4 linked regions of the Elephas maximus indicus genome follow. The protein of the gene in region 2 purifies or fractionates together with the protein of the main gene of each other region. This does not show direct contact. Links are inferred from orthologs where the notes say so. Each region holds a gene or a part of one and is shown on either strand. Other genes may lie near its edges. The genes, in order: FBXO45, LGALS3BP, CAD and SPRYD3.

Region 1 (7,403 bases), on a different chromosome or scaffold from region 2:
TTTTCTAACAGCTTCACTTGACAACTGCTTTGTTAGTATTCTTTGATGAGGCAGCCCTGGTGGTGCAGTGGTTAAGTGCTCAGCTGCTAACCAAAAGGATGGCGATTTGAACACACCAGCTGTTCCGAGGGAGGAAGATTTGGCAATCTGCTTTCATTCTGTGAAGACCACAGCCTCAGAAACTCTATGGGGCAGTTCTACTCTGTCCTATAGTGTTGCTATGAGTTGGAATACACGGAATTGACCAAAAGCTACTGATCATTCATAACTGCTTTTAAATGTACTCATATATTTTCAATCCCATTATAATTTACCTGCACTTACACAACGGTAGTACTTACGTGCAAAATTTATATTCCTGATCCTAGGCATCCCAGATCCATAAACTAAGAATTGCCACATAGTACGACTCTGCCTTAACTGCCTGTTAGGCAAGGCAAAAAAGAAATCAGGGCAATTTATCCACTTCTAATGGTCAGATGAAAGGAAGCAAACCAGCCTATCTGGACGAATTTGATTTTTCATTTCACAAGCCAAGGGAGGAGTTGCTAGTGAAGAGCTGCCATAGTTACTTCACTATTTTCAGACATGATATTTGACTTTAGTCCAGTCGTACAGAGATAAATTTCCTAACGTTGTTTTAAAAATTCGTTTAAAACGATTTGGCAATCTGCCTGAAGTTTCCATTCCCAAGACAAAGTTGCCCGTTGCCTCCCATTTGCAGTCATACCAAAAAAATTTCTATCATTATACTCCAAAAACTCACTCAGGTGTTAGTAATCAAGGTAACAGAAACATGGTCACAAAATCAGATAAAGCCATTCTCATAATGACAACAAAATGGAAAGACAAAAATATACTTTTATTTCAGCAGAAATATTCAATTAGCACACAGAGGAAACTAATTCAGTAGAGGCTGATGTAAGTAAGACTTAAAGGAAAGGCTTGAAGAGGAAATGACTCAGAGAGAGGTAAAGACAGGGAACCCTAGTGGTTTGATTTTTGCTGACAAGTACTGAAAGCGTAGATAATTTTCTGCCCTAGCACAGGCTCTTGCCCACTGCTCCAGATACACCAAGAAAAAAGGATGCTTAAATAACAGGTACAGATATTACTATAGAGGCTTAGGGACTATCATCTGTGGTAACCACTGATTTACCCTATGATAAAGACAATAACTTTATCTTGAAATATGAAATCTGAATGTAACTATTAAAAAAGCCATTTACATCACAAATAATTTTGTTTAACCCTTAGGGTGTTGATCACTTCTTTCCTTAAGTTGCAGTTCTAATTTTGCTACGATGAATCAAGTTTAAAGTCTAAAGGCATGTACTCTACAGCTTTAAGATTTGCTGAGTTTTACGTGCACACAGGTTTTGGATCCTAAGTTGGGATTTTAGCTTTTCTGAGGCCAAGAATGAGTTAGGGTTTCTAGTACTTCTATTTCTCCATCATACATCAACCCACAGGGATCCAAGTAAATCTAAGTAAATGTTGACTGGCAAACAGTTTTAGCAGATTTTCTTCCTCATATAAATCTTTTCTGGAAAGTTTTAACTCAATTTTAAAGGTAAATCGATTTTGTACTTAAAGGAACTATTATAAGCAACAATGCAGTTCCTATAAATTTTTCCATAATGGAACCTGTAGTAACTCTCGGTCTGTTAATCTCACAAAATCCAAGGACAGTTGTACCTTAAACTTTATGTACCAGCATAAAAAACAAATTAAACCTCTAATCTCTAAATCACATGGGTAATATTTACTGATCACCTAGCTGGTCAGAAAAAATAGAGACCTATTATCGGAGATGCTAAGAAAAAGAGCTGGGAAAGCCCCAGAAATCTACCCACCCTGTGAGGCTGTTCAGTTAACTGACATTCACCGTGCAGTGTACTGATCGATGATTAAACCAGAGCCTCCAAAATCATGTATTTACTTAATCTACAAGATTATTATTTGCAACACACCCAAAGACCACCATCAAAAAAGTGTTAAAGACTGCTGTGCGGAGTGGAAAAAATGTAATTCAATCTGGGTTAAATCAAAACAACCTTTCAAAAACAAGGTGTCAAGCTATTTTTCCTGTTTTTCTGTTACTGGGACTGGAAAGTCTACCAGAAATAGGTAAGTGTTACCATCCCCACATATCAAGCCAACAAGCATCTCTTCTCATATGTAACCCATAACCATAACCCACTGCCATTGAGTTGATTCCAACTCATAGCAAACCTAAAGGACTGAGTATAACTGCCCCATAACTTCCAAGGAGTGTCTGGTGGATCTGAACTGCTGACCTTTTGGTTAGCAGCTGTAGCTCTTAACCAATAAGGCACCAGGGTTTCCCTTCTCATATGTAGATACCTTAAAGGAAGGTCAAGCACAGGAATTAATTCTATTGAGCTTCTTTAATTAGATCATAGATCCCTCCCTTCCAACACCTAATGAGACCACAGAGTGGGTGGTGAAAAGGTGGGGTAATTTGGGAGCATTTTTAGAAAGGGTGGGGTGCTGCTATAGCTAGCAGTTCTTTCCAGCCAGAGGGCAGACTGAGGGTAGTGAACACGGGGTAGAGGTAGCATTGGGGAAGGGTGATGACTGAGTAAAAGATATGTAAAGAAACAAGGGGGTAGGGATAAAGGCAATCTTTTCCTACTCTGAAATTCTACGTTTGCCACTTGGGGAGTAATCTGCCACCGAAAGTCACCTTAATGACTGAACTAGATTACCTCATCAGGTCCTTCAAAAGCTCTACAACACCTGTACTGTGACAGACAGAATAAAGGCCAACATCTTTAATAACTGAATGATCTCTAACTACTTTGCTCCAGTCATATCTCCATGTACCCACTTGTCCTTTTAAAGGGTCTCTGTCTTTAAAGATGTTCATTCTGCCTGGTCCTTTGCCCCCATCTCAGATGGACCAACTCTACTTATCCTTGAAGATTAAAAAAAAAAAAAAAAATTGCTGTCTTTCCAGACAAAACCAGGTCCTCCTTCCTTAAGTGTCCCATGGTGAATGAATAATAACTGAAACCTCCTGAGGTTATAATTCATTGAATTCATTGAATACATTCAATTAACATAATCTGAGAGTCAGCATTACTATAATCAGTATAGTTCAAGTTTTCCCCAGGTTTGGGTTTTCAAAATTGGTCTTGTGGAGAAGCTGGATTGCAACCAAAATGATGGAGGGGCTGTGACATTGGTATTGGTAAGAATGGATAGAATCTGGGTTACTGAGCTTGTAGAAAGAAAAAGACACCTGGGAGGAAGGAGCCAGCGATAGTTAAACACTATATATCACAGAACAGAAAGGCAGTTGTTCTTGTTTTTGCTAGAGAACATGGATTACACACAACAGGAGTTTCAGGAAAAATTCTTACTACGTAACAGTTGCAAGATACTGGAGTTGACTATTAAGGCAATCTGTGAACCCTATTATTATAATAATTACTTAACCTCATACAGCTGTTTCAAGAATTATATAAAAATCCCCGAAAAGGACCTAGTGTAGTGTTTGGCTCACACTGTGGCACAAATGATGGTTATTACCTCTCTACTGTTTTTTAAAGACTATGAGAAAAACTTCTTGGGCCACCTAGGAAGATGTAGTATGACCAAATAATGCTGAAATTCCTTCCCTTCCATGAAGCCATCTATAATTATAGCCTCCACATCTCTCTCCCTTTTGGAATACTTAATTCAACAAAAACATTGCCTTAATATGCCTACGAAGCGGTGGATCTGGGAATGACTGCATTTTGGCCAAAAGAATGTCATAACTAGCGCTTAAACAGCACTTTATGGTTTTCAAAACGTTGGGGGTTGGGCGGTTTAGAGACGTGGCCACCTTATTCTCCAAATATACGATGGGATACAAATTCTGATAAGTACAGACACTTAGAGAGACAAGAGAGCCTGACCAGGAAAAGACGGCCTCAGCTACCGAAGGCAAAGAATGAGGCTCCAACTGAAGACGAAATTGGAAGACCCAGGACTTGCTCAGCAAGAAAAGGAGAGAAAAGTTCCTAGCGTTAGGTTGGGGTTCGAAGCAGGAACCTGACACAGGGAAACCTCACAGGAAAAGGGGCCAACGACAGCCGATGCGAGGCCGCTAGGACAAAAAGAGGAAAAGGCACTGGAGTGCACCCAGGAACCCACCGCCGCCAGCCTCATACCTGCTCTTCCCGCTTGCCTCCTCGGCGCCTCGTGATGACCTCACCCGCGGGCGCCCAATCCGAACAAGCGTAGGGCACGAGGCGCCTCAGCCAAACAGTCACATCCGGGGCCAAAAGGAACCGCGAGAGAGCTGGGCGTGCGCCCTTGCTTCGTGCCCTCAACCGGCATGGCGGAGCTGCGGGCGCGCCGCGGGGAGGCCACGCGAGTCGGGCGGTTCCGGCGCCCGCCCTGAGCCTCGGGAGCGGGGGAGGGGCGGGGACGCCCGTGCAGCCGGCGCGTCTGCCCTCAGTGAGGCGGGGCGCGCGGCGGGCGCCCCCGGGCAGGGGCGGGAGTGGTGGAGGTGCTGGGCGGTAGGCTGTGAAAGGGGCGGTGAGCAAGCTGCTCCGGTCTCAAGGCGAGGCTTGGCCTCCAGAGCAGAGACGGGGGAACGCGGCGGCGGCGGCAGCGGCCTTCGGGCCGGCTGGTGAGGCGATGGCGGCGCCGACCCCGGGAGCTGGAGGAGCCTCGGGCGGCGCTGGCTGTAGCGGCGCGGGCGCCGGCGCGGGCTCGGGATCCGGGTCTGCGGGGGCCGGGGGCCGGCTGCCCAGCCGGGTGTTGGAGTTGGTGTTTTCCTACCTGGAGCTGTCCGAACTGCGGAGCTGCGCTCTGGTGTGCAAGCACTGGTACCGCTGCCTGCACGGCGATGAAAACAGCGAGGTGTGGCGGAGCCTGTGCGCCCGCAGCCTGGCCGAAGAGGCTCTGCGCACGGACATCCTCTGCAACCTGCCCAGCTACAAGGCCAAGGTGAGGGAGCCCCGGGCCACGCCGCTGCCCTCCGTCCCGCTCCTCCGCGCCGCTCTCAGTGCTTCGCATCTGAGCGTCTGACTCAGACGCTCGCCTCCCCATCCCGCCTTTCCTTGGCTCCAGTCAAGACCTTACCTCACCTCTCTCCTCCACTCCCCTCCACAAAGATCTCTTCTCTTTGGATTGCTGTGCACAGTATTAAGTTCTGCTCCTTAACCCTCCCCACTTCCGTGATCCAGTCTAAGGACCAGATGGTTTCCCATCCCTGGCTTCCATTACTCATGTTACTTTCGACAGTCCCAGTAATAAAGACCGACCACTCCCATTGTTGTACCTTTTAATACTGTCATCCCGTTTTTCTTCCTGCCCGACAGATAAACAGATAGACGCTATTAAATCATTTCAGTTGCCTTATTTTCTCTCTTAATATCGGCTTAGTCTCTCAGATCATTGCTTTCAGCTCACTATTATTTATAACAATTTTTTCTTTATTTCCGCCCGTTTTCGTTAATTCTCTCCACTATGTTTCAGGCTTACAAATGAGTTCCTAGGCGACCTGCTAACTTTCAAGATATAGGCATTTATAGAACATCGTCCCATCAGTGCCACTTACTGTCATAATAGTTGCCTTTTCCCAGTATTATTGGCTGCCTCCTTGCCAACTTTTTCATAGTCTCCACCTTGATGGTATGTCTCTTCTGTTCCATTTGTCATCAAACGTGGTGTTTCCAGTTTTGCTTCTTTTTTTTTTCCCCCTCTTAGATTCTTGTGCATGTTCCTGCCTCTCTTCATATACAAAATAAAAATGTCAAGTAACAGGTTGTGGTAGGGGGTGAGAAAATTCTCCAGGCCATATAAACAAAGGACTCCAGGCTTGGGTTCAGTTGGACCCATAACAGCTCTCCAGTATAGTATTCACCAAGAGCATTTCTGAAAGGGGATAAAGCCTGTGACTTTGAATATGGTAAACATACAGAATACATTAATAACTGAAAAGAGAAGTTGCTTTTCAGTGCCAGTGGGGGTCAGAGTAAGAAGTAAAAAAAACCTTCATGAGAAATAGATGTAAAATTCACTTTTTCGTAATAAAAACAGATTTTAGTTTAATACAATAACGAACATTGCTGTTAAATGTTAACTCGAGCTGTATTTATATTAAACGAAATAACATGTTAATTTCTTAGGACGATACTTGTGCATGGTACATGCTCAGTGTTTGCTAGTTGTAATTTTTATGGCGGCGTGCAGAAGACTACAGTTTCGCCCTACTTTGCCTGATAAACGTGGGTTTCATGGATTTTATTTACTTTCTGTTTTTCCGTTGCATCTACTGGTTTTAAGAAATTTGAAAAAAATTTATCATAGATAATATGTTCACATGATTCAGGATGTAAAATGATATACAGGAAAATGCCTTCCTTTCACCCTTGTCCCTCAGCTGCCCAGTTCCCCTCCTTAGAGGCAACCTGTGTTACCAATTTTATGTATATCCTTCCAGCATAGTTTAGGTTTCTGAAGTTTGTTGTTTTTTGGTTTCTGAAGTTTCTAATACTTGCCACATTGTTGTTGTTAGGTGCCATTGTGTTGATTTTGACTCATAGTGATCCCATGTGACAGAGTAGAACTGCCCCCATAGGGTTTTCTAGGCTCTAATTTTTACGGGAGCAGATCACGAGATCTTTCTCCCGAGGATCCAGTGGGTGGGTTTGAACAGCCAGCCTTTGAGTTAGCAGCTGAGCACTTAACTGTTGCACCACCAGGGCTCCTGTAGGCATTGTAGACTTATACTCATGACATGTTCATTCAGCTGTTGCAGGGCATTTTGCTTGACTATCTTGAGGATACAAAGATTAAATCAAAATGAGTCACATAGTCAAATAGGTTGAGCCTTTCGTCTAGTAGAGGAGGAAAAAATGTATAGAAATTGCTCCTTACTGTTAAAATCAGTTGCCGTTGATTCAGTTTTGACTCATAACGACTTCACGTATTACAGAGTAGAGCTGTGCTCCATAGGGTTTTCAAGGCTGTGACCTTTTAGGGACAGATTGCCAGGCCTTTCTGCCAGGGTGCCTCTGCGTGGAAACTTTTGGTTAGCAGTCAAGCACTTAACCGTTTGTAGCACCTAGAGACTCCTTCCTTACTGTTAATCCAAACTAAACTGACCCTATCAGACAGAGTAGAACTGTCCACTAGGGTTTGCAAGGCTGTGATCTCTATGGAAGCAGACTGCCACATCTTTCTCCCACAGAGTGGCTGGTCCATATGTACTGCTGACCTTTTTGGTTAGTAGCTGAGTGCTCAACTGCTGCACCACCAGGGCGCGTTCCTTACTGTTAAAAAAAAAAAAAACAGTTGCCGTTGAGTTGATTCCAGCTCATAGCAACCCTACAGGGCAGAGTAGAACTGCACAATAGGGTTTCCAAGGAGTGGCTGGT
Region 2 (7,390 bases):
CTGTCCTACTCAGTTGCTATGAGTTGGAATCAACTCAATGGCAATGGGTAAAGAACTTATGCAACTCAATAATAAGGTACGCAACCCAATTCAAAAAAAATGTGTACAGGATTTATAGACACTTCACCAAAGAAGATACAATGTCCATGATACTTTCTGCGAAATAGGACATTATGTGATTTGGACGTTCAGCGAACACCATGTTATGGATGAAGGTCCTTTCGGGCATTCGCTTCCAGAATAAGGAGGTTTTATCCATATTAAAAATTTGCTGGGGCAGATAACCTCCCTCGGCAATTAGTTTATCCAAGGTTTCAACAAATTCTTCTGCCTCCTTCGCAGCAGCACCCACAGGCTTACCAACCATTTTCACATTATGCAGCAAAAAACTTCGAGGCACTTGAATCACCCAGAGGGAGCACTAAACCCACTATCGTAGTCTGGTCTTGGTTTTTCTTTAAGCATCTTGAACAAGCTTCGTGCCTTAGCAGTGACGGTCAATGTGCTGAGAGGGATTCCCTTTTGTGTTTAGGGACCGAGGTGTACCTGACCCAAGCCATGATATTTTCTACCACCTCATAGACACGCGAAAGCTGGACAATGAATAAGGAAGACTGAAGAACTGATGCATTTGAATTGTGGTGTTGGCGAACAATATTGATTATACCATGGGCTACTGGAAGAACCAACAAATCTGTCTTGGAAGAACTACAGCCAGAATGCTCATTAGAAGTGAGGATGGCGAGACTTCACCCAGCTTACTTTGGACATGTTATTGAAACAGGCTGCTCAGCCAGATCTTGAACAGTACCTGAGCCTATTTTTTTTCTCCTTCTTTCTTCTTTCTCTCCTTTCCCTCCCCTAGCGCATCCCTGCCTCCAAGTAAGATCCTGCTGTTAGCTCACCAAATGGTTAACCAATGTTTCCTCTAAGACTGTGGAAAGCAAGTGATATTGATCTAAGCCTGTCAAATAAGAAGGATGGCGTCAGCCACCGCCCCCCCGCCCAGCTGATGGGATAATGGCAGGAAAAGATCAACAGATTTGAGATAGGATCACTGAAACCAAACAGAAGAAAGAGAGTGCATATTCCACAAGTCCCTAAAACTTATGACCCCTTTCCCCTTAAAAACCCGAGCTGATCGGTAGTCTGGTGAGACAGATGACTTTAGGAGGAGATCATTCCCCCCGTCTCCATATACCGGTATATCTAATAAACCTCTTGCTACCCACCTCACCCGTCTCAAGAATTGGCTATTTGCCACAGGCGGCTCTAACTTGTGAAATTGCGGTAACGTTATCAGAAGGCACCAATCCCTAGAGAAATATATCATACTTGGTAGGTGGTCAACAAAAAAGAGGAAGACCCTCCACAGATGGATTCACACAGTAGCTGCCACAATGGGCTCAAAAACAGCAAAGATTGTGAGGATGGCACAGGACTGGGCAGCGTTTCCTTCTGTCGTACACAGAGTCACTATGACTTAGAATAGACTCCACCTGCATTGACTGCTAATGACATGGGTTGGTCCCCAATCCAGGTCACTAGCAATTTCTCCGTATCTGATGTGGGTCCGTCTCGTGTTTTCATTAGCCTGGTGTAGCTTTCAGTGGGTCCGATCCTTTAACAGCTTAGAGAATTTTTTCTTCTTGAGGATTGCTGTGACTGTGAGTGAAACATGCCTAAATCCGGTACGTCCTGTTCTCCAATACAGATTTCTAAACTCTGTTATAACCTATGGGACCACAGATGTTTATGGGGTCAGATGTTGCCCAAATGGACGTTATGTGGCACATGACTGTCTATGAGCGACAAATAAGCATTTGAAAAGACGCTTAACATCATTAGTCATTAAAACCACAGACAGACTCCTCTAGATAGCCACTAGAGTGGCGAAAATGAAAAGGACCGGAAGTACTGAGTGTTGGTGAGGGTTTGGAGTCACTGGAACGCTCCCGCTGCTGGTGGGAATGGCGGATGCTGCCATTGGAAAACAGTCTGGCCGTTTCTTCAAAAGTTAAATATACATTTACCATATTGTTACCCAAAGCAGGTGCTGCTCGGTGCGACTTCTCAATAAAGACACGCCGAGGTGAGGAGCAAGGAAGAGCGTCTATTGCAAGCATGCAAGCAAGGACCGAGGAGGTTATCCTGAAATCAAGCTCGCTGAGCGAAGACAGGCAGAACATTTTATACAGACTCTTGCAAGGAAGTACATGCAAACGTTATGGACAGCATAGGTTATCATGGCACCCAGGCACAATTAGACAAATTGCATTTTTTTCCTCTGTCATGTAGGCTAGTAAACTGGCTTTGACTGGCTTGAGCCGCACCCAGTGCTTGGAGTACAGTGGACAGGAGGGACGGGTTTCAGCTGAGCCACACCCAGCATCTGGCTATCTTGACATGATCCAGTAACCTGACTCTTAGGTATTTACAGGAAAGATATAAAACATGTTCACACAAAGGCTTGCATCCAATTGTTCATAACAACTTTGTTCATGATAGTAAAAAAATAGAAAAGACCCAAATATCCATCAATGAACAAATGCCTAAACAAACTGCGATCTACCCACGTGACGGACTACTACTTCGCAAAAAAAATGAACACATTACTGATATTCACAGCACCACGGAGGAATCTCAAAAGCATTCTGCTACAAAAGATTACATCCTGTATGGTTCCATTTATATGAAATTCTGGAGCCCTGGTGGCACAACGATTAAGCGCTTGGCTGCTAACTGTGACATCGGTGTTTGGAACCCACCCAGGGGCTCCGCGGGAGAAAAGACCTGGGAATATTCTCCCATCAAAATTACAGTTTAGGAAACCCTGGAGTGCAGTTCTGCTTTGTCACATGGGGTCGTAATGAGTCGGAATCAACAACGAGGACGACATAGTGGCAGTAAGCAGAGCAGTGGTCGCCAGGGGCGGGGGCTGGCGAAGGGGATTGACCGCAAAGGATTTTAGAAGAGAACTTTTGAGGACAATGGAAATGTTCTTTATCACAGTGGTGATCATGGTCGTCAACTGTAGGCTTTGTCAAAGCTGAATGGATGTACACTTAAACTCCATGCATTTTATTGTTACGTAAATTATGTCTCAATAAAGAAAAAATGTGTGTTTGAATCCCAGCACTTCTTCACCTTCCAGCTGTGTAACCTGGGGCAGAGTATGTAACCTCTCTGTGCCTCCACTTCCTTATCTATTGCAGGGATAAGAAGAGCAGCTGCTTCCCAGACTGGCTGGAAGGATTAAGTGAACTCATCCCGGTCAAAGGTTTGCAGTGGAGCCTGGCTCAATAGATACTGGAGTCCCTGGGTTCTGCAAGGAAACCCCGATGGTGCAGTGGTTAAGAGCTATGGCTGCTAACCAAAAGGTCGGCAGTACAAATGCACCAGGTGCTCCTTGGAAACCGTATGGGGGCAGTTCTACTCTGTCCCATAGGGTCCCTGTGAGTCGGAATCGACTTGATGGCAACGGGTTTTGGTTTTGGGTTGTGCAAACAGTTAACGCATTCAGCTGTTAACTGAAAGATTAGGGGTTCGAGTTCCCCCACACCCGGCCATCTGCTCCCAAAACATCAGCCACTGATGGAGCACAGGTCTACTCTGACGCACATGTGGTCGCCATGAGGAGGAGTTGACTCCTTGTCAACTGGTTACCGGTCAAATATTAGCTATTATAGTCAGCACTCCCGCGTTCGGTGAGACGGAGCAGAAGCAAAAAAAAAAAAAGTGTCTCCAACAGCACCCAGCCTTTCTCCAGCAGCGCCTTGGGAATGGCTTCCCTGCCAGATTAGCCTCCAATGGTACCACCTTTGGGCCCTGCTTTCTTGAGGCCTCAACAGTCTTCTTATCAGAACCGAGCCAGCCCTCTCCCTCCCCGTCTCCCTGAAGCTATCATCTCACACCGCCCCTCCCCTCCCCCTCCTTAAGCACTTCCTTTTGGGGGTCTCAGGAGGTTGGAAAACCTTTGAGAGCCCAGGGGAGCCGATATTGGTGCTGGTTCTGGGATACGGCCTTGGGACTTTAAATTCCGCCTGCCTGGACCCCGCTCTGTCTGTCCCTAAAGTCTCCCCCAGCCCCCCCACCACATCTGCTGCTGCCCCCTCCTTCCCTCCCCCAGCACAGTGCCTGGCACATTGGTCCAGCTTGGAAGGTTGTCTAAATTCCGAAATAGTCATCCCTGTCTGGCTCTGGGAGTTGCTGCAGGTTACCAATTCAGCCAGAATCCATCCTTGGACTGCTGCCATTCCCAGCACCCACACTGGAGCTGAGAAAAGGAAGGGGCCCCAGGGACTCTGCGTGGCAGCCAACCCCTGGAGAAACACAGGTCATGTGATTCCTAGAAATTGAAACTGAACAGTTTCCTGAAGCATTTCCTGACCACGCTCCACACAGGAGGGTTTTTGAGCCCGAGGACAGGCCCACAGCAGGCTCCTGCAGCGGGAAGGCACAAGGCTCCAGGACAGCCACAGGAGTTACCTGGGCAGGTAAGCACCTGTCTCTCCTTGCTCCCAGGTGGGCACCCTTCTCTCTACACAGTGGGGGCCAAGCATACTGTGTACACAGACCCGGGGCTAGGGGCAGGGTGCTGCTCCCAGAAGATCCGCAGGGCCACCCCATACAGTTGGGCAGACTGTTCACTGCACGAGGCACCAGCCAAGGGGGCAGTGGCAGGGTAGCCTCTCACAGTCTGCGTGCTACCCTGACCCACCCGCCCGCAGGAAGCGCACCTTTGCCTGGTTTGCAGGCAGGTGACTTCCCACCACGCATTCACCTAGGGCTTGATTGGCCATTTCCTCATGGCCCTGAGCTCCTGTCCAGGCTATCCTAGGAGCAGGGCGGGTGACCAGTTGTTCTGGTGTGCCCAGTCACCTGGCCCTTCAGCCGTCTTCTGAGAAGACTGCAGTGAATCGAGGTTTGCCTTACTCATTAGCCTGTTTCAGTGGCTTTGCTTAGAAGCTTGTTAGCTATAAGACGTTTCTTGGTCACGGTCAGGATTCTGTGAGCTTGTGCTTTGAGCAGGGCTGGCACAGGTCACCCCTCAAAGCTTCCTGTGCCCCCTGGGGGTCTTATAAATGCAGGCATCCATGCCACATGTTGCCTCCAAGGTCACCAGGCCCTGATCTTGTCTCCGTGCTCAGCAGTGCCACAGTGGCCTGGTCCTTGGCCTGGTCCTGGGCTTGCTGGACAGCAGAGAGCAGTGCTAGGGGGCATCCATGATTCTTGCTGGGCCAGAGGGACGGTGACCTGTCCGGCCCGTTCACATGCACAGGATGTGGGGTGGGGAAGCAGGTTAGGATGTAGCCGGGGGCGACAGGCTGCTGCCAATGATGGAACGATCAAGAGTGGAGAAGAACGTGGAGACCAAAAGCCTGGTCCTCCCCAACCTTGCCCCCGCTGGCTGAGTGGCCTGGTGGTTCCACATCCCCAAGCCTTGGCTTCATGAGACAGTAGGCCAGCTGACCTCAGGGGGTCAGCAGCACCATGTCCATGCCGAGCCTGCTCACCATACTCCCCAAACCAGGGGTGGGTTAGCCAGCAAGCGCAGTAGGCGCTGGTTTGCAGTAAGCGAGGCGTGCACGGGCTTAATTGTGCTCACAGACTAATCTATAGTGAACAATTTCACATGAGTTTCACCAAATCTTTGGCATGGTATAAACCAGGTGAAGCTGTTCACTACAGATTAGTCAGTAAGCACAATTAAGCCTGTGCGTGCCTTGCGATCCCCGCCCCTGCCCTGTGCCCCTGTCCTGGCTCCTAATTCGGCCCCCTCCCCCCCCACACTGCGACCCCTCCTCTCCATCACCCCCACCCAACACCACCAGCCCACACTCCTCGCTGCCAGTGTTTCAAGCCTGGACTTCTGGGGTGCCTCCCGACAGGCCCCCTGCTCTGCACGCTGCAGCCAGGGAACCTTTGTCCCCTCAGTCACTGTGGGCATGCCTGCGAGGGTCAGTCACCTTTGTACACAGCCCTGGTTTCTAATGAGACTCACCGGGCCCTCACCATCTGGGCCCTGCAGAGCCGCACCCCCTCCTCAGCCCTCCTCATCCAACACCACATGGCAGCCACACACAGGCCCAGCATTGGGAGATACCCGCTGCCTGGACCCTCCAGCCCCCCCTCTTCACCTGGCTGAGTCTTACTCAGCCTGAAGACCAGCCCTCAGTTGGGGTGAGGGCTCTGCTGGGTCCCCACCTTCCCTGCGTCTCTCATGCTCACTGCCTGCAGAGGGCCCTGGAGGAGCAGGACCCGCAGGCCTCTTGGCTCCTTCCTAGCCTGGCACCTGGGCCTCAGCAGGTCAGGGCTGCAGGGGGCATGGCCCTGCTCTGAGGACCGCCCCCCCCCACCACCGTGTCTTCCTCTGCCATAGGATCGAGGCTCCAGGTACTGCCATGGCACTCCCTGAGCTCCTCTGGATATGGCTGCTCGTCGCAGGGACCCACGGTGAGCTGAACCCCTGGGAAGACGGGAGAAAACATCAGTTAAGCAGCTCTTCCTCCATCTGAGGCTACACTCCCGCCCTTCAGAAAATGCCAGCAAAGATTCTGCTGGTGGCCTGGGTCTCCCCTCCTGCTCAAAACCCCAGTTGTCCCTGGTGATGGGGGCTTGTGGGTTCTGGGCAGGAGGCCTGGGCTCCCCATACTCTCCCAGCACCCCTGCGGCACCCTTCTTGTGGGCCATCATGCTGGTGTGGGGCCTCCAGGAAGAGGAAGGGGCTCCCAGTCTCCCTGTGTGACTGTCTCCAGGCCCAACTACAGACACCACAGAGAGGATCAGCCTGGGCACCCTTCCCTGCCCCTCTTCCTGCCACCTGGCCACCTCTTCTCCAAGTGCTGGGCACAAAGGGGGGACCCCAAACACAAGGCTAGCTTACCTCTGTGTTGGGGGGTCTGTGAGTATCTCCTGCTCCTCCCCAGTGGGTGACCTCCCCCGAGGACGGGCAGGGGACTTCAAAGTGGCAAAACCAGACCCCCAGCTCACTGGTCAGCAGTTCAGCCCTAGGTGGACAGAGCTGCCACCATGAAAGCACACGGCCCGAGAGCAGTGGGCAGCAGATGGGCCTAGGGTGGGGCCAGGTGCCCTCCCATCATCCTGTCTGATCTTTGCTCCCCTCTGCCCCCACGAGCCTGCAGGCCTGGAGGACGGCACCATGAGGCTGGTGAACGGGGACTCGGCTAATGAGGGCCGCGTGGAGGTCTTCTACAGAGGCCAGTGGGGGACCGTGTGTGATGACGGCTGGGACCTGGACGATGCCCACGTGGTCTGCCGCGCCCTGGGCTTCGAGAATGCCACCCAGGTTCTGAGCAATGCTGCATTCGGGCAAGGTAGGGCCTCTGCTTCCGGGTCCTCCAGAGCCAAGGCCGCAGCCCACCTACGA
Region 3 (7,150 bases), on a different chromosome or scaffold from region 2:
GTTTTTGAAGAGCTTGAAGCTTGTCTTTTAACAGAGCAGTCTTGTGGCTCTTCTGTAAGCTGTGCGCGCACGAATGCAGTATTTCGTGCGTGGGCAGGACTTTACTTTCCGGAATGTTCGATGAGTTCATTGTGTACCTTCTTGTTCTTATACACCCGGTCAAACCGGAGCTGTCAGATTGAGAAGTCACTGGAGAGGGCATAATAAATATGGTCGAATACTGTTTTTCAAAGATGAAAGTATTTTCTTGGAGAGGGCTGGTAATGGAAGTGTTTGATGCGCTGCTTTGCCTCTAGGGAAAGAAAGATATCCCCTATCCAACCGGATAAAAGGTAGGACAAGAGCCACTTCCCCGCCCTTTGTTAGAGAAAAGGAGAGGTATATTGGCAGTTAACTCTGGATCGCCGTTCTGTTCTTGACTTTTCTTTCTGGGGTCCTAATAGGTTTCTCTCTTCTACAGATATGCATCCAGTGCCCAGGGAGTGTGCAAAATTTGTCCGAAGTGGCTCTGTTTTGTAAGCAGACCCCGAAGCTAATGTTGTATGCCCGCTGCTGCTTCAATCAGAAGGGCGCCATCTTGGGGTGAGGGAGAACACATCCTTGGATAGGGGAGGGCGGGGGAGTTTTCAGAACAGAGTCCACAAGGCTTGTTTGATAGACTTGGCATAACTATTCGTGCCTATATTGGCGGCACCTTTTAAACCATGATTCATTCTCATACTTTTAAATCTGTGTATCATTTTTGGCTAGGAAACAATCCTATAGTTTTTTCTGGTTAAAGCTGCATAAAAATCATAATTTTTACCTGTTTTTTAAAATTTTTTGATAAGCTGTTATGCTTCCGGTTTTGTTTTATTTATTATCAAGTCTTTGTATTATTCACTGAGTGTCTCCAGTTATTCTCCAAGACATTATGCTAATACAGTTTTCTTCCCCTTGTGATTAATTCGTGTTTGAGGCAAATTCCCCTCACTGTCCCTTATACTAGTTAGTCCCTCAGATTCACTCCTTGACCCTCCGCCCTTCTCCGTGTACACTCTGGAGAATCCACCTATTCTTATGGCTTCAGCTATAACCACCTCGTAGGTGTCTCCCAAAACTAGTTCTCTCAGTGTCCTTAACACCTCTCAGAGCTCCAGGTACGTATGGGTACTTCCAACTTATTATTAAACATTTCATCTGGAATGCTTCACCTTCACTTCGAACTTCCCCAAAACCAAATTTTTCCATTACCATTCTCTTGGTTTTAAGACCATATTTATAACTATTTTCTCAGGATAAAGTTCAAACCATGCATTAGACATTTGATACCTACCACAGACTGGTCACAATCCACCTTTCCTACATTATTTCCAATTATTTGTCCAGTCAAACCCCCAGTGAGGGTCTGGCTTCAGCCAGATTCACTTACAAAGGCATTCTACTTTTGTTTCTTTGTTGTTTTGGAGAGCCTCTCTCTTTACCTGGAATTACCTTCTTTCACCAAATTAGGACATAGCCATCCTTCAGTTTTAGCATTTTTTGTGAATGTTTCCCACTACTAAATCCCAGAGTAATAGTTTCTTTGACTTCCTCTAATACTTAGTGTCTGTACCACTCAAATTTATTTACACGCTGTACTGTTATTTCTTTCATATTGTAATTTAACGTTTATATTGTTTTTGGTGATTTTCTTGTTCCCCTACTAAATTGTAAGCTACTTGAAGGCTAAGATACTGAGTTAGACTTTATATGTGTGTGTATAAATATATATACTTTCCCAATGTTTTGCAATTAGTAGGCATACAGTACATATTTGTAGAATAAAGGAACGAAAAGTGATAGATATTGAAGACAAAATAATTGCAGCATGGGTCCGTAACGTCCAGGAGCTTATATCCAGCCTGTGATAGATAATGTACTTTGAGGAAATTTTCATTTATGTGACTTGCATCTTTTTTTTTTTTTTTATTCGAAAGCCCTTTTTGGATCTGAGACTCGTAATGCCATAATATGAGATCCACTAATCTAGACAAGGAATAAATTTCTTCTAATATGTGTACAGATGTGAATCCAATATGTGTACAGATGTGAACTGACAGGACATAGTACTTATTAGAACAGCATTGACCATTAGAACTTTCTGCAAAGATGGAAATGTTCCATATCTGTCTGCCCAATACAGTAGCCACTGACCACATGAGGTGTAGCCAGTGCCAGTGAGAGACTGAATTTTTAATTTAATTTTAATTAATTTAAATTTACATAGCTACATGTAGGTAGTGATGATTGTATTGGACAATGCAGGATTACAACATCTACCACAGCACCGAGTATGTGGCTCTCACACAGGCTGTTTTCAATTTATACTGATAACCTAAAAGGGAGTTGGGTATCAAATACAAACCTTGTCATGAATGAAGAAGAAGGACATACAGTTACATTGATTACTTTGTTTCCTCAGGCTGGATCTCCAAAACTGTTCTCTGAAGGACCCTGGTCCAAACTTCCCTCAGGCACATACTGCTATCATCATGTAAGTGGTTAGGTCCCCTCCCTCCCAGAAAATGACTATGGCAAAGGGTTGATGAGACAGTCTTTGGGGATGGACTCCTAAAAAGATGGATGAGTATTAATGTCTAAGTTTACTCTGGATTACCAGTCTAGGAAGATGTGTGAATGGAGATGGGTGCTGTCCTGAGCAGAATGCTAACAGTGTGTGCTTTGCAGAGACCTGCAAGCAAACCCCCTCAAGGATGACTTGGTTAACACCTTCCATGGCTTTACTCAGCTCCAGACTCTGTAAGTACAGGGTGTGGGGATTAGGGGAGAGAATAAGAGGAGTAGTGCTGTGAGCTCAGCGACTTTGGGTTGAATATATTATGACAACCTGTGTTGTCTTCAGGATACTGCCACAAAATGTCAGCTGTCCTGGAGGTATTAGTGCCTGGAATACTATCACCACTCACACAGACAAGCAAACCTGCCAAGGGCAAAGGAACCTTTGCAACAGCACTGGAAGCCCAGGTATGCTGTCTCATCTCTGCCCTTCTGGCAACTGCCTTTCCTCTCTTACTCATTTTAGATCAGAAAGACTAAAATTGCTTAGGTGCCTTTTGTTCAGAGTTCTGAGGCTCTAATTGGGAAAAAAAGTTTTAGAATATATTGTCATTATGTTCTGATTATCTATAGTGATGTTTACCACTGATCTACAAAGGATTGAGAGAACCTGAATTGAAGCAGATATTTAAGAAATTTATCTGATGAGATCCAGTGATGTTCTCTGTTTTTCTCTGGCTGCCAGAAATGTGTCCTGAGAATGGATCTTGTGCTCCTAATGGTCCAGGTCTCTTGCAGTGTCTTTGCGCTGATGGTTTCCATGGCTACAAGTGTATGCGCCAGGTGAGGAATGAGGCCTTAGAGAAAAAAGCATAGAGCAGAAACCTGTCTCAAAGAAGAGCCACAAGACCGGAAGCTAATGCACGTCACCCAGGGGAGCAAAGTTAGAATTGTCCTGAATGAGGGAACAAGTGTACTAACAGGGAACTAGGTGTTAGGCTGTAGCCTTCAGTGTAATGCTCAATGAGAGTTGTTGGACTGTTACTTACAGGGCTCGTTCTCACTAATTGTGTTCTTCGGGATTCTGGGATCCACCACGGTATCCATCTGCATTCTGCTGTGGGGGACCCAACGCCGAAAAGCCAAGTCTTCATGAACCACATGGGTCCCCCTAGTGACCTAGTTAAGGCGTCATCCAGGCCGAGGACGAGGTTGGAAGGAAGATGGAAAATTGCCCTATTCTCAAGTGTTGTGGACACCTTCTCCAGGGGTAGAGTACCAGTTCCCGTTTGTGTTGTTGACTATAATAAACACTTTTTTCCTTGTCATTGTCATGTGGTTTTTTGTTTGTTTGTTTTTAGGAAAAGTTGCCCTGCCTCAGTGTGTTTCTTGGTTGGGATGTAAGAGGCCGCTTTGGGGTAGTCAGTGTTTTCGGGTTTCCCTAGCCTTTGCAGGGGAGGAGGAGACCGCGGTCTCGCGGCGCAGAGCCACCGCGGCGCCGCTCCGGCCCCGCCCCGTGCGTGCCCGGCCCCGCCCCTCACGCCGCCGGCTCCCTGCGCCGCCGCAGACGCCCGGCCGCCGGCGCGCTAGGCTGCTGCGCGGACCACGCCCGCCTGTGCTCCGGCACCGGCGCGGTTAGCCACGTGGACCGATTCCCGGCGCGTCGTCTTCACGTGGTTCCAGCGCCGGCTGGGGCTTGCGGCGCTCCACCGCTTGTCCGTGCTCGGCCCTGCCTCTAAGCGCCGTTCCCATGGCGGCCCTGGTGTTGGAGGACGGGTCGGTCCTGCGGGGCCAGCCCTTTGGGGCCTCTGTTTCGACTGCCGGGGAAGTGGGTAAGCAAGCTTGGGCAGGCTGCCGACCTCATCCCACTCCGATCTCCGCACTGCCTTCCCTGCCCAGACCCCGCCATTTTCCCGCCTGCACACCCTCCCCGCGTTCTGCCGCCAGGTCCCCAGCCCTGCCCTTACCACCCGTCACGCCCATGGCAGCGTACCCTGACGGGGGCATCTCTTCGCCCGGGGCGGAGTTCTGGAGGGTACCCTGCGGAGCCCTCTCCCTGTCCCTTTTTTGCAGTGTTTCAGACCGGCATGGTGGGCTACCCCGAGGCCCTCACTGATCCTTCCTACAAAGCACAGATCTTAGTCCTGACATATCCTCTGATCGGCAACTATGGCATCCCCCCAGATGAAGTGGATGAGTTCGGTCTCAGCAAGGTAGCCATGCCCAATGCTTTCTCTACATTCTTTTTCAAATCAATAATTATTAGTGAAGTGAAGACATTGACACTCTGCCAGGCAACCTGGAGAGAACAAATATAAACACTGAAGTGATAAGTACTGAGGTGACTGTAGTTAAACTTGGGTTGGTAGATACTTTGAGAAGCTCAGCATGGTGGGAGCCTAGGAGGAGAGAGCTATCCCCTCTTTGTTAGGGGCACCAAGGCTATAGGCAAAGTCCAGAATATTGTGTATGTAGTGGAGACATAGGTCTCACAACAAACAACAGTGAAGACATGAATCAAGGAAAGTGGCAAAAAGTGTAGAAGAATAATGCAGAAGTAACGCAAAGATGGGTTAGATACAATAGGAATGAAGTCAAACCAACGTCTAATCTTGATCTGATAAGGACCCTTCGGAGCTTGTTTAACAAGAGTCACATGATGGGAGCAATGCTTCAGGATTGCATAGATTAGTGGAAGGGGGCTGGAAACCAAGATCACATCTTTTTCCAGAGACATTGGGTCCCAGTTCACCTACAGAACCAGTGAAAGTTGGTTACAATCTTCTAAACATACTTTCCTTACCTCATTTTCTACTTCTTTTCTGTAGTGTTCTTACCTCTAGGTAAGAAAGTTCAGTTTCCTCTTGAAGTTCAGTGAGGTTGCCACTATTCTTTCTCCTTTGGAATTGGAAACCAAGATGCCCTCTGAGTTAAAGTAGTAAAAAAACTAGCAATTGGGATAATAGTGGAAGTCAACATAGCAGTATTCCTTAAAACCCATTTTGTCCATGATTCCAGGCTTACTGAGCAACCGACCATTAGATTCTAGATTTGCCTTCCAGGTTACCCTGACGCTGGAAAGACTGGATAACGAACACTGTTATTCCTGGAAAGGCCCATTTGTTATCACAAACCTATAAATACATTGCACTCTTAACTTTTAATTCAATATTTTGTGAATTTGGTTAACATACATCAGCCTTCAGCTCTATCAGCTCTAGGCACACTGACAGAATTGAGTTTACAGACCTCTAAAATTGTGGCCCTGGCTAGACCAGAGAGATTGAGACCTTCCGCAACCACCAACCCAACGCCAATGCCCTTGTAGCACATGTGTTGTAAATGTACTTGCCCATGCCAGGTGGACTTCGCTTGTCAGGGAGGGCTGTTTTTACTCATCTGCCAAACTCTATCCTTCAGATTCCTAAAGAACAGTCTCGACATCCATCTTCCCTTAAACCTTTTACCATTTAGCAGAATGGAATTTAAATATGCCACTACTTCCCAAATAAACTACTGGTTTCTCCATTTAGTTACTAAATGCTTGTTGATCAGTTAACAAATTCGTATTCTCTTCTTTTTTTAATTAGTCCTTTTGGAGTGGAGAGGTATAATCACTTACAGTATTGTAACTTGAGCCTTCGCTTTTATTTAGTAATGTATCGAGCACCTACCTATCTTAGCACCTTGTTTGTATAACCTGTGTAATTATTGTTAGTTTACATGTCGACTTGTTAATTTTCTGCTCGTACGAAGGAAATAAACATCATGAAGACTGGACCCTATCTTTTCTTGCTCACTGCTCTATCAGCATCTGTTACAATGCCTGGCACCTAGTGAAGACTCAAAATGTTTGTTGACTGATGCTATGTGTCAGGCACCTTGCTCTTGAGTTCACGGTTCTGTGACAAAGACACACTCCATGTGTTAATGTTTAATGTGGGGGATGGTATTGTTGGTAAAGGGAGCTGTGAAGTGCTGGGTGGTGGTGAAGATGATACAGTGTAACTGAAATAGAGGGCCCATGGCCACGTAATGGGAGAAGATGGGTAAAAGTGACAGAGGGAGATATTTGGCCTTGAGCTGCTCCTCACAGTCTCCTCCTTCCATCTACAGTGGTTTGAATCCTCAGAGATCCACGTGGCAGGACTGGTGGTAGGAGAGTGCTGCCCCACGCCCAGCCACTGGAGTGCCACCTGCACTCTGCATGAGTGGCTGCAGGAACATGGCATACCTGGCCTGCAAGGTATGATGGCAAGCACACGTGTGTCTCGGCGGAGCACAGTATGCCTGGATGGAAAGGATCAAGATAAGGTTTCCTAGACTCCAGTCCAAGCTTGTGATAGAATATGCCCGATCTAAAATTTTTTTTTTAGAAGGGTTAGATTGCTTTCTGGGGCCAGAGAAGCTATCACTTAGGTGGAAGATTTCAAACATAAAAGGAGAGAATAGTATAATAATCAAGTCTTGGTTAATCTTATTTCATCATCACCATTACCACTCCCTGATTATTTTGAAGCAAATTTCAGACTTTGTATCATTTCATCCACCAATAGTTCATCTATCTCTGAAAGACAAGGAGTCTTCTTTTTAAAAACATGACCACAATAAG
Region 4 (7,588 bases), on a different chromosome or scaffold from region 2:
CAAGGGTCGAGAAGCCACATAGCAGCCAACTTCACCTGAGTTTCCATGGTAACTGCAGGAGGAATAGGGAGGAGTTTCATTAGCAGCCTAGCCCAGGACCTAGGGGGAGGGCCTCAGCATCCCCAAGCCCCACCCTGTGAGAAGCAGCACAGAGGAGAATCCAGAAGGCCTCGGTTCAGCAGACACCATAACAAGATGCTTCAGAGGTCACCCCACCCCTCCCGCTGCCTCCAGCCAGAGTCCAGCCCACACCAAATCAATGCAAGCCTGGTTTCTCCTTCATTTCCAGAGGGAAAAGTACGCAGAGCTTCCCTTAGGTACCTATTAGGGGTCTCACAACCCTGTCTAACCTCAATCCCTCACGCTGCAGCTTCGGCCCTTTTCCTCTGGCTCTGTCCTCAGTGGAGCTGGAGAACGGCTGGTCTCTATCCTCTGTACCAAAGCCCTTCATAGATTGGAAGACAGTTATTCACTCCCCACTCCTCAGCTTTCTTGTCTCCAGGCTAAGTAACACTACTTTCTTCCCCTCTCAGTGGCAATTTTGTGGGAGAACTAAGGCTCAGAAAGCATCAGGGGAGAGGTTTGAGCCAGAAAGAGAGATGAAACAAACACAAACGAAAGGGCTGGGAAACATGGCAGGCAGTGGGTAGAATGCATCACAGCACTGTCCATCCCAAAACAGGAAACCCACTGCCTTCACAATGGCCACTCTTCACCAAATCTAACCCAAGACATAGGCAAAAGGAGACTGAAACACCTCACAGACCCATGGAGTCCACTCAACAAGGCACTTGGGGGAACTCCTACCTCAGACCCCAACAGCCTCCTAATTCTGACAGGATAGCTTCCACTGCACAATGACAGACCTTTGCCAAACCAGGACAGAGGTGGACCCAGGTAGAGGAAAGTTCAGGGTAAAGCAGAACACGCTGCTCCACTCAGAAAGGCCTCTGGAGTCAACAGCATTCTCTCTCCCAGTGTAGTGTAGACAGTCCCCTCCCTCTGAAAGAGCCTTAGCATCTCTCAGATGTGGCACAGAAAGAAAAACGTGGACACATTCCCCTAAACTCACCTCAAAGTGTCTCCATCTACAAGGATGTGCTTGAACCTCTCCTGATACCGGAAAGCCCGGACCTCCCGAATCTCCCGGATCCGGCGGCGCCAATTCAGAAACCGGTAGTGCAGGTTGAGGTCATCCATCTTGTTCATGAGAACAAACCTGCCAGAGGGGTAAGCGGATTGAGGAGGAAGCAGGGCTCTGAGCTAAGCACCTCAGCCTGCTCAACCCAGAATGTGGGGAGAGCACTGGGCTTGGAGCCAGTTCCACAGACTGAGCACCTCAACAATCCCCACCCTCATCCTTTCATTCAACAAACATTTACTAAGTTCTTACTCTATGCACTGCTCTAGGTACTGGCAGCACAGTGCTTAAGTGCTTGGCTGCAGGGGTTCGAACTCACCAGCCACACCTCGGGAGAATGATGTGGCAGTCTGCTTCTGTAAAGACTACAGCCTTGGAAACCCTGTGGGGCAGCTCTACTCTGTCCTACAGGGTCACTATGAATCAGAATCGACTCAACAGCAATCCGTGTAGGTACTGAGGCTACAGCTCCGAACAAGATGGATGGAATCCTGTACTCTCAGGGCTTCCGTTCTAGGGGGTAGGGAGTGAGGAGGGAAGTATGACAGACAGTAAACAGACATGACAATTTTAAACAGTGGAGAAAAAACCAAGGTGATGTGATCGAGAATAACAGGGAGCTACTTTGGATAGCGTAGAGACAGAAAGCCTCTTTGAGAGGTGACACTGGAGTTGAGATAAAAAAGAACCAGGCATGTAACAAGCCTGAGCAAGAGTATTCCAGGCAGAGAGACAGCCAGAGCACTGATGTTGGGGTGGGAGGGCATGTTAGAAAAACAGAAGTCCAGAGTCGCTGGTGCACAGGGAATATGGGACAAGAGGTCTAAGAGGAAGACTGGGGGCATATCATTGCCCTACAGATCCATAAGGAGTTTGGATTTTACTCCAAGTGTGATGGGAAAACCTTCGGAGGGTTTTGAGTGATGACATAATATAATCTTGTTCATGTTTTTAAAAAGCTCATTCATGCCAGTGCTTGGAGAGCTGACCATAAGGGGAACAAGAGCAGAAGTGGGTGAGCAATTAGGAGGTCCTTGCGGCAGCTCAGAGGAGGGATGGCATCCACTAAGATGTCGGCAATGAAGACAGAGAGAAGTGGTATTTAAATGGGGTATTAAACAACCAGCAGTGCCAACACGTGAGTGAATGAATAAATCTTCTCCGGGAGTCAAAAGTTAGAGAAAGATGAGGTAATTTTTTTCTTCCCATCCCAAAACTCCTGGAGCGAGGGTCCCATCAAGGTTTGACAGTGCCATCCACACAGAAGGTGCTTGGTAAGCATCGGGTGAGCTGAACTGAATCCCAGTGTGGACGTTACCATCCTTCTGTTGCAGCTACAACCCACACCCACCACGTAGCCCTGAAGGGCGGGCACCAGTGAGGCAGCCCCAGGACTCCCCTCCAGGGCGCTCGGCCAGGGCTTGACCTCTGGTAGACGCTGGCGCCCCAGACCTAGAAGCATATGGTTGCCCAGAACCCCACAGTCTTGGCACCAGCGAGTGACGGCCGCACTGGGCCCTGCCTCCACCCCGAAACAGCTTGGTCATTCACACAAGACTCGGGGGCCACGGGGCTCCGATTCGTCAATGTGACTACGCCCAGTCTCCCCAGGCCCTGCATGGGGCCGGGAGTGCCGGAGGGAGGAAGCCCAGAAACCAGATCGCAACACCCCGCCCCTGCCCCCGGAGCCCCCGCCCAGGACCCCCTCCTCCTGCTTGGGGCTCCTGGGAGACCCGAGGCCGCCGGGACCCCGCCCCCCCGATCCCCGCCTACCGGGGCCTCCGCGTCCTCCTCATCCATAGGCCTCTCAGCTCCGCACACTAGCTCTTCGGCCGCCGCCACCACACACATCCGGGTTCCCGCCCTTCCTGAGCTTCCGAGACCCGCCCCCTCCCACCCGCGCCAATCGTAAGCGGCCTATGACGACAAGCATCTGAAGAAACCAATCGGAGCACCCAGGCAGGTCTGGGGCGCGGCCCGGTGAACCCGGGTACTTCGCCGGGTAGGGTCTAGTAAAGCCGGGTGTAGAGAGGGTAGTAGGTGGCGACGTGGCAGTGTGGATGCTGCGCTGGGTGCCCTGGGGCCAAGGGGGCGGCCAAGGGGCGGCTCCTGCACTGGGCGGGGCAGGTGGAGAAGGTCGCTACGCACGTAAAAATATTGCGAATGTTTCTTAAGTGCTCATTCCGTGCCAGGCGTGATGCTAAAAGCCATAGGAGTGTCCTTTTAATCCACTCAGAAACCTTATGAAATAAACTTTATTATTATCTCGTTTTTAAGATGAGGAGCCTGAGGCTCAGAGGAATTAAGTTTCCACAGCCTGTGCCTTTAGATATTACCATATGTTTTATATTCTTCCTAGCTCTCTGAAGTCCATTTCATGTCACAGGTCAACAGTTCACTCCGGGAAGGACATTGTATTCCAAGAGGAGGGAACATCTCAAGCAAAAGCACAGTGGCATGAAGTACCGCGTTCAGGAACAGGGGTTTAGGTGAGGCTAAAGGAAAGCTAGACTGAGTCAGGCTGCAGGAGGAAGGATGCTAGCATTTATTGAGCACCTACTAAAGTGTATTTATTGCCATTCTGGGGAGTTTGGACTCCTGGAATGAGGAGGTCCCTGATTTTCCTGATCACTGAATCTCTTTTCTGGGTAGAAAGAATATCCCTTCCTCTGTAGTCCCATACCATGTCATATGCACTTCATTTATAGCACTTATTACAGTCTTTTATTACTAAAGTCACCTGTGTATGTAGACCTGTTTCTCTGCTGGGCTATGAACTCCTTCAGACTCCGGGGCCTGTTCTATACCTAGTACTGTAAAAACGTTGAATGAAAGGGAAGCCATCATCTCCTGTACATGAACTGCTTGGCCTAATGGAAGTGAGTGTAGAGGAAATAGGGAAACCTGGATTAGAGCCCCAATTCTGTGTGACAGAAAGTTCACGGTCTTGGTGTTCTCATCTATAAAGAATTATTGAAGTATGTGTTCTTTTGACTCCTTTCCAGCCCTTCGATTACATAGTTCTGAATAGTTACCCTTTTCAACTCATCTCCAGCTTCTTCTGGTTCCATTCCTTTATTGTTTCTCTCTTCCACCTCTTCTTCCTGAGCTATGAAAATACACTGAGCCTCAACCTGGCTCCTCCCAATCGCAGCCGGAGAGGAACTGACCAGGGTGGCTCCCAGAGTTATGTCCATTCTACAACGGATCTTCTGAGTCCTTCCAGAAGCTAGTGAGCTGGCTACCAGCTGAGACAGAGAGAGACACCAAAGTGTTATTGATAGCTGGTGATTCCACTTGAGATTTCCTCATCCTCAAGTTCCAGGTGTATTAGGGCAGGCCTTCTGGTGAACCCTTGATCCATTGGCATTCTCAGGACCGTAACTGTAATTTGTACTTAGCATCTACATGTATTTGATTAAACAGCTTTGTTGAAATATAATTGACATAAAATAGACTGTACATATTTAAGGTATAAAATTTAATGTTATGTACGCACCCATGAAAACGTCTCCACAATCAAGATAGTGAATATACCATCGCTCCCAAAAGTTTCCTCATTTTCCTCGTACCCTCCCACCCTCAGGAAACCACTAATTTGCTTTCTCCCTCTAGTGCAGTTTGTATTTTCTATGATCTTATATAAATGGACTCAAGTAGTATGTACTTAGTGTTTTTTGGTGGGGGGAGTCTTCTGGCTTCTGTTACTTGCATAATTATTTTGAAATTCATCCATGTTGTTGTTTGTTTCAATAGTTCATTGAAACAATAGTATGCCACTGTTTGAATATACCACAGTTCATCTATTCACCTGTCAATGGACAGTTGGCTGTTTCCAATTTTTGGCTATGAATATTAATGTACAAGTCTTTGCATAGACATATATTTCATTTTCTCTTGGGTACGTACCTAGGAGTGAAATGGCTGGGTCACATGGTAAATATACGCCTACTTTGGTTACGCCTTATGCCTGTAAGAGTTAAGATCGAGTATCAATTTGGCTGGGCCATGATTTTCATTTAGCAATTATGTAATAATGCAGTTTGGCAGTTGTGTAATGATGTACCTTGGCAGTTATGTAATGATGCATCTGGGAGTTATGTAATGATGTAGTTATCCTCCATTCTGTGATATAATGTAATCACCTCTAGGATGTGCTCTGATGTGATCAGCCAATCAGTTGTAGGGGGAGTTTCCGCAGGGGTGTGGCCTGCATCCAATATATATGGACATTCCGGCAAGGCTCGCCAGCTTTTCCTTGCTTTGGATCCTGTAACCAGTTTATTATCATCTGATCTCTGGTTCTTGGGACTTGAGCCAGTGGCCTGCTGTAATGCCTACTGATCTTGAGATTTACAGCCTGTGAGCCAGCAGCCTGCCACCTGAACTGCTGATCTTGGGTTTGTCAGCCCCTGCAGCTATGTGAGTCAGAAGCCTCCAGCCTGATACCTGATCCACAGACTTGGGACTTGCCAGCTTCTGCAACTATGTCAGCCATTTTCTTGAGAAAAATCTCTTTTTCTCTCTCTCTATGTTGTTGTTATGTGCCGTTGAGTCCGTTCCGACTCCTAGCAACACTATAGGACAGAGTAGAATTGCCCCATAGGGTTTCCAAGGAGCAGCTAGTGGATTCAAACTGCCAACATTTTGGTTGGCAACCATGCTCTTAACCACTGTGCCACCAGGATGCCAATATATATATGTGTATATGTATATATGCATATATACATATACACATACATATATGCTTCACTGGTTTTGATTCCCTAGAGAATCCAGCCTAAGACACTGTTCTCTGAAGTGGTGTATCTGAAGTGGTATATCATTTTGCATTCCCATCAGCAGTGTATGAAAGTTGCAGTTGTTTTACATCCTAACCAACACTTGGTATGGTCACTCTTTTTAATTTTAGCCATTTTTAATAGTCATGTAGTGGTGTTTCATTGAGGTTTTAATTTGTCCTTCCCTGGTGACTAATGATGTTGAGCATCTTTTCACATGCTCGTTTGCCATCCATCTATCTTCTTTGGTGAAGTGTCTGTCTTAGTCATCTAGTGCTGCTGTAACAGAAATACCACAAGTGAATGGCTTTAACAAAGACAAGTTTATGCTCTCACAGTCCAGTAGGCTAGAAGTCCGAATTCAGGGCACAGGCTCCAGAGGAAGGCTTTTTCTCCCTTTCTGTCTGCTCTGGAGTTAGGTCCTTGTCATCAGTCTTCCCTTGGTCTGGGAGCATCTCAGCACAGGAACCTCAGGTCCAAAGGATGCGCTGTGCTCCCGGTGCTGTTTTCTTGGTGGTATGAAGTCACAAACTCTGCTTGCTTCTTTCTCCTTATTATCTCTTGAGAGATAAAAGGTGGTGCAGGCCACACCCCAGGGAAACTCTCTTTACATTGGATCAGGGATGTGACCTGGGTAAAGGTGGTGTTACAATCCCACCCTAATCCTCTTTAACATAAAATTACAGTCACAAAATGGAGGACAACCACAGAGTACTGGGAATCATGACCTAACCAAGTTGATACACACATTTTTGGGGGGACATAATCCAAGACAGTGTCTGTCCAAATTGTTTGCCCATTTAGAATTGGGTTGTTTCTTAATATTGAATTTTGAGACTTCTTTATGTTTTCTAGATTCAAGTCCTTTATCAGATATGTGATTTACAAATGTTTTCTTCCAGTCTGTGGCTTGTCTTTGCATTTTCTTAAGTGTCTTTCAAAGAAAGTTCTTAATCGTGAAGATGTTTGATTTGTTGATTTTTGATATTGTATCATTATTTGGTAATGTATTTAAGAAATCTTTGCCTCACCTGTGATCTCAAAGATTTTCTGCTGTGTTCTCTTCTAGAAGTTTTATGGTTTTACATTTAGGTCTGTGATTCCTTTTTTTTCTTTTTAGCTTTTATTTTTAAATAATTTTTGACTTGCAATAATAGTACATGAGTTCTGTGATCATTAAGCTTATGTGTCTGGGCCATGATTCTCAGTGGTTTGGCAGTTATGATGTAGTTTGGCAGTCATATGATGATGTGATCACTTCCATGATGAGATTTCATATAATCTGATTACCTCCATGATGGGATCTGCTATAAGTAGCCAATCAGTTGAAATGGAATTTCCTTGGGGATGTGGCCTGCATTGAATATATAATAGACTTTCTGGCAAGACTTGTGGGCTTTTGCTTGCTCTGGATCCTACAGCTGGCTCTTGCTTGCTCATCTGACCTCCAGTTCTTAGGACTTGAACTAGCAGCTTACCTGCTGTCTTGCCTGCTGATCTTGGGATTCTTGGATCTTCATAGCCTGTGATCAAGAGCCCTGCTGTTTGACCAGCCGATCTTGGGTTTGCCAGCCCCTGCAGCTATGTGAATCAGGAGAATCCTCTATCCTGACCCATAGACTTGGGACATTCTAGCCTCTACAATTGCATGAGCCATTTCCTTGGT

What was found.
Region 1: the proteins of LGALS3BP (region 2) and FBXO45 purify together in Homo sapiens (co-immunoprecipitation; 3 studies listed by BioGRID and IntAct, counting the BioPlex papers as one, with this or other methods). This does not show direct contact. The link is inferred for Elephas maximus indicus from reciprocal best matches to the Homo sapiens genes LGALS3BP and FBXO45.
Region 3: the proteins of LGALS3BP (region 2) and CAD purify together in Homo sapiens (co-immunoprecipitation; 3 studies listed by BioGRID and IntAct, with this or other methods). This does not show direct contact. The link is inferred for Elephas maximus indicus from reciprocal best matches to the Homo sapiens genes LGALS3BP and CAD.
Region 4: the proteins of LGALS3BP (region 2) and SPRYD3 purify together in Homo sapiens (co-immunoprecipitation; 3 studies listed by BioGRID and IntAct, counting the BioPlex papers as one, with this or other methods). This does not show direct contact. The link is inferred for Elephas maximus indicus from reciprocal best matches to the Homo sapiens genes LGALS3BP and SPRYD3.

What each region holds. Positions count from the first base shown.
Region 1 is NC_064819.1:18,113,783-18,121,185, forward strand, and holds the start of FBXO45 (F-box/SPRY domain-containing protein 1), read left to right. Parts: upstream 1-4,398; 5' UTR 4,399-4,656; coding exon 4,657-4,968; intron 4,969-7,403. UniProt on the Homo sapiens protein: Component of E3 ubiquitin ligase complex consisting of FBXO45, MYCBP2 and SKP1. Functions in substrate recognition but also plays an important role in assembly of the complex.
Region 2 is NC_064837.1:68,869,352-68,876,741, reverse strand, and holds the start of LGALS3BP (galectin-3-binding protein), read left to right. Parts: upstream 1-4,369; 5' UTR 4,370-4,496; intron 4,497-6,382; 5' UTR 6,383-6,404; coding exon 6,405-6,456; intron 6,457-7,145; coding exon 7,146-7,337; intron 7,338-7,390.
Region 3 is NC_064830.1:45,716,296-45,723,445, forward strand, and holds the start of CAD (CAD protein), read left to right. Parts: upstream 1-4,137; 5' UTR 4,138-4,288; coding exon 4,289-4,370; intron 4,371-4,611; coding exon 4,612-4,751; intron 4,752-6,654; coding exon 6,655-6,784; intron 6,785-7,150. Other genes in the region: ATRAID (all-trans retinoic acid-induced differentiation factor), read left to right, coding at 461-582, 2,444-2,515, 2,710-2,781, 2,885-3,006, 3,284-3,381, 3,590-3,694. UniProt on the Homo sapiens protein: Multifunctional protein that encodes the first 3 enzymatic activities of the de novo pyrimidine pathway: carbamoylphosphate synthetase (CPSase; EC 6.3.5.5), aspartate transcarbamylase (ATCase; EC 2.1.3.2) and dihydroorotase (DHOase; EC 3.5.2.3).
Region 4 is NC_064822.1:108,601,276-108,608,863, forward strand, and holds the start of SPRYD3 (SPRY domain-containing protein 3), read right to left. Parts: upstream 3,019-7,588; 5' UTR 2,938-3,018; coding exon 2,915-2,937; intron 1,220-2,914; coding exon 1,073-1,219; intron 53-1,072; coding exon 1-52.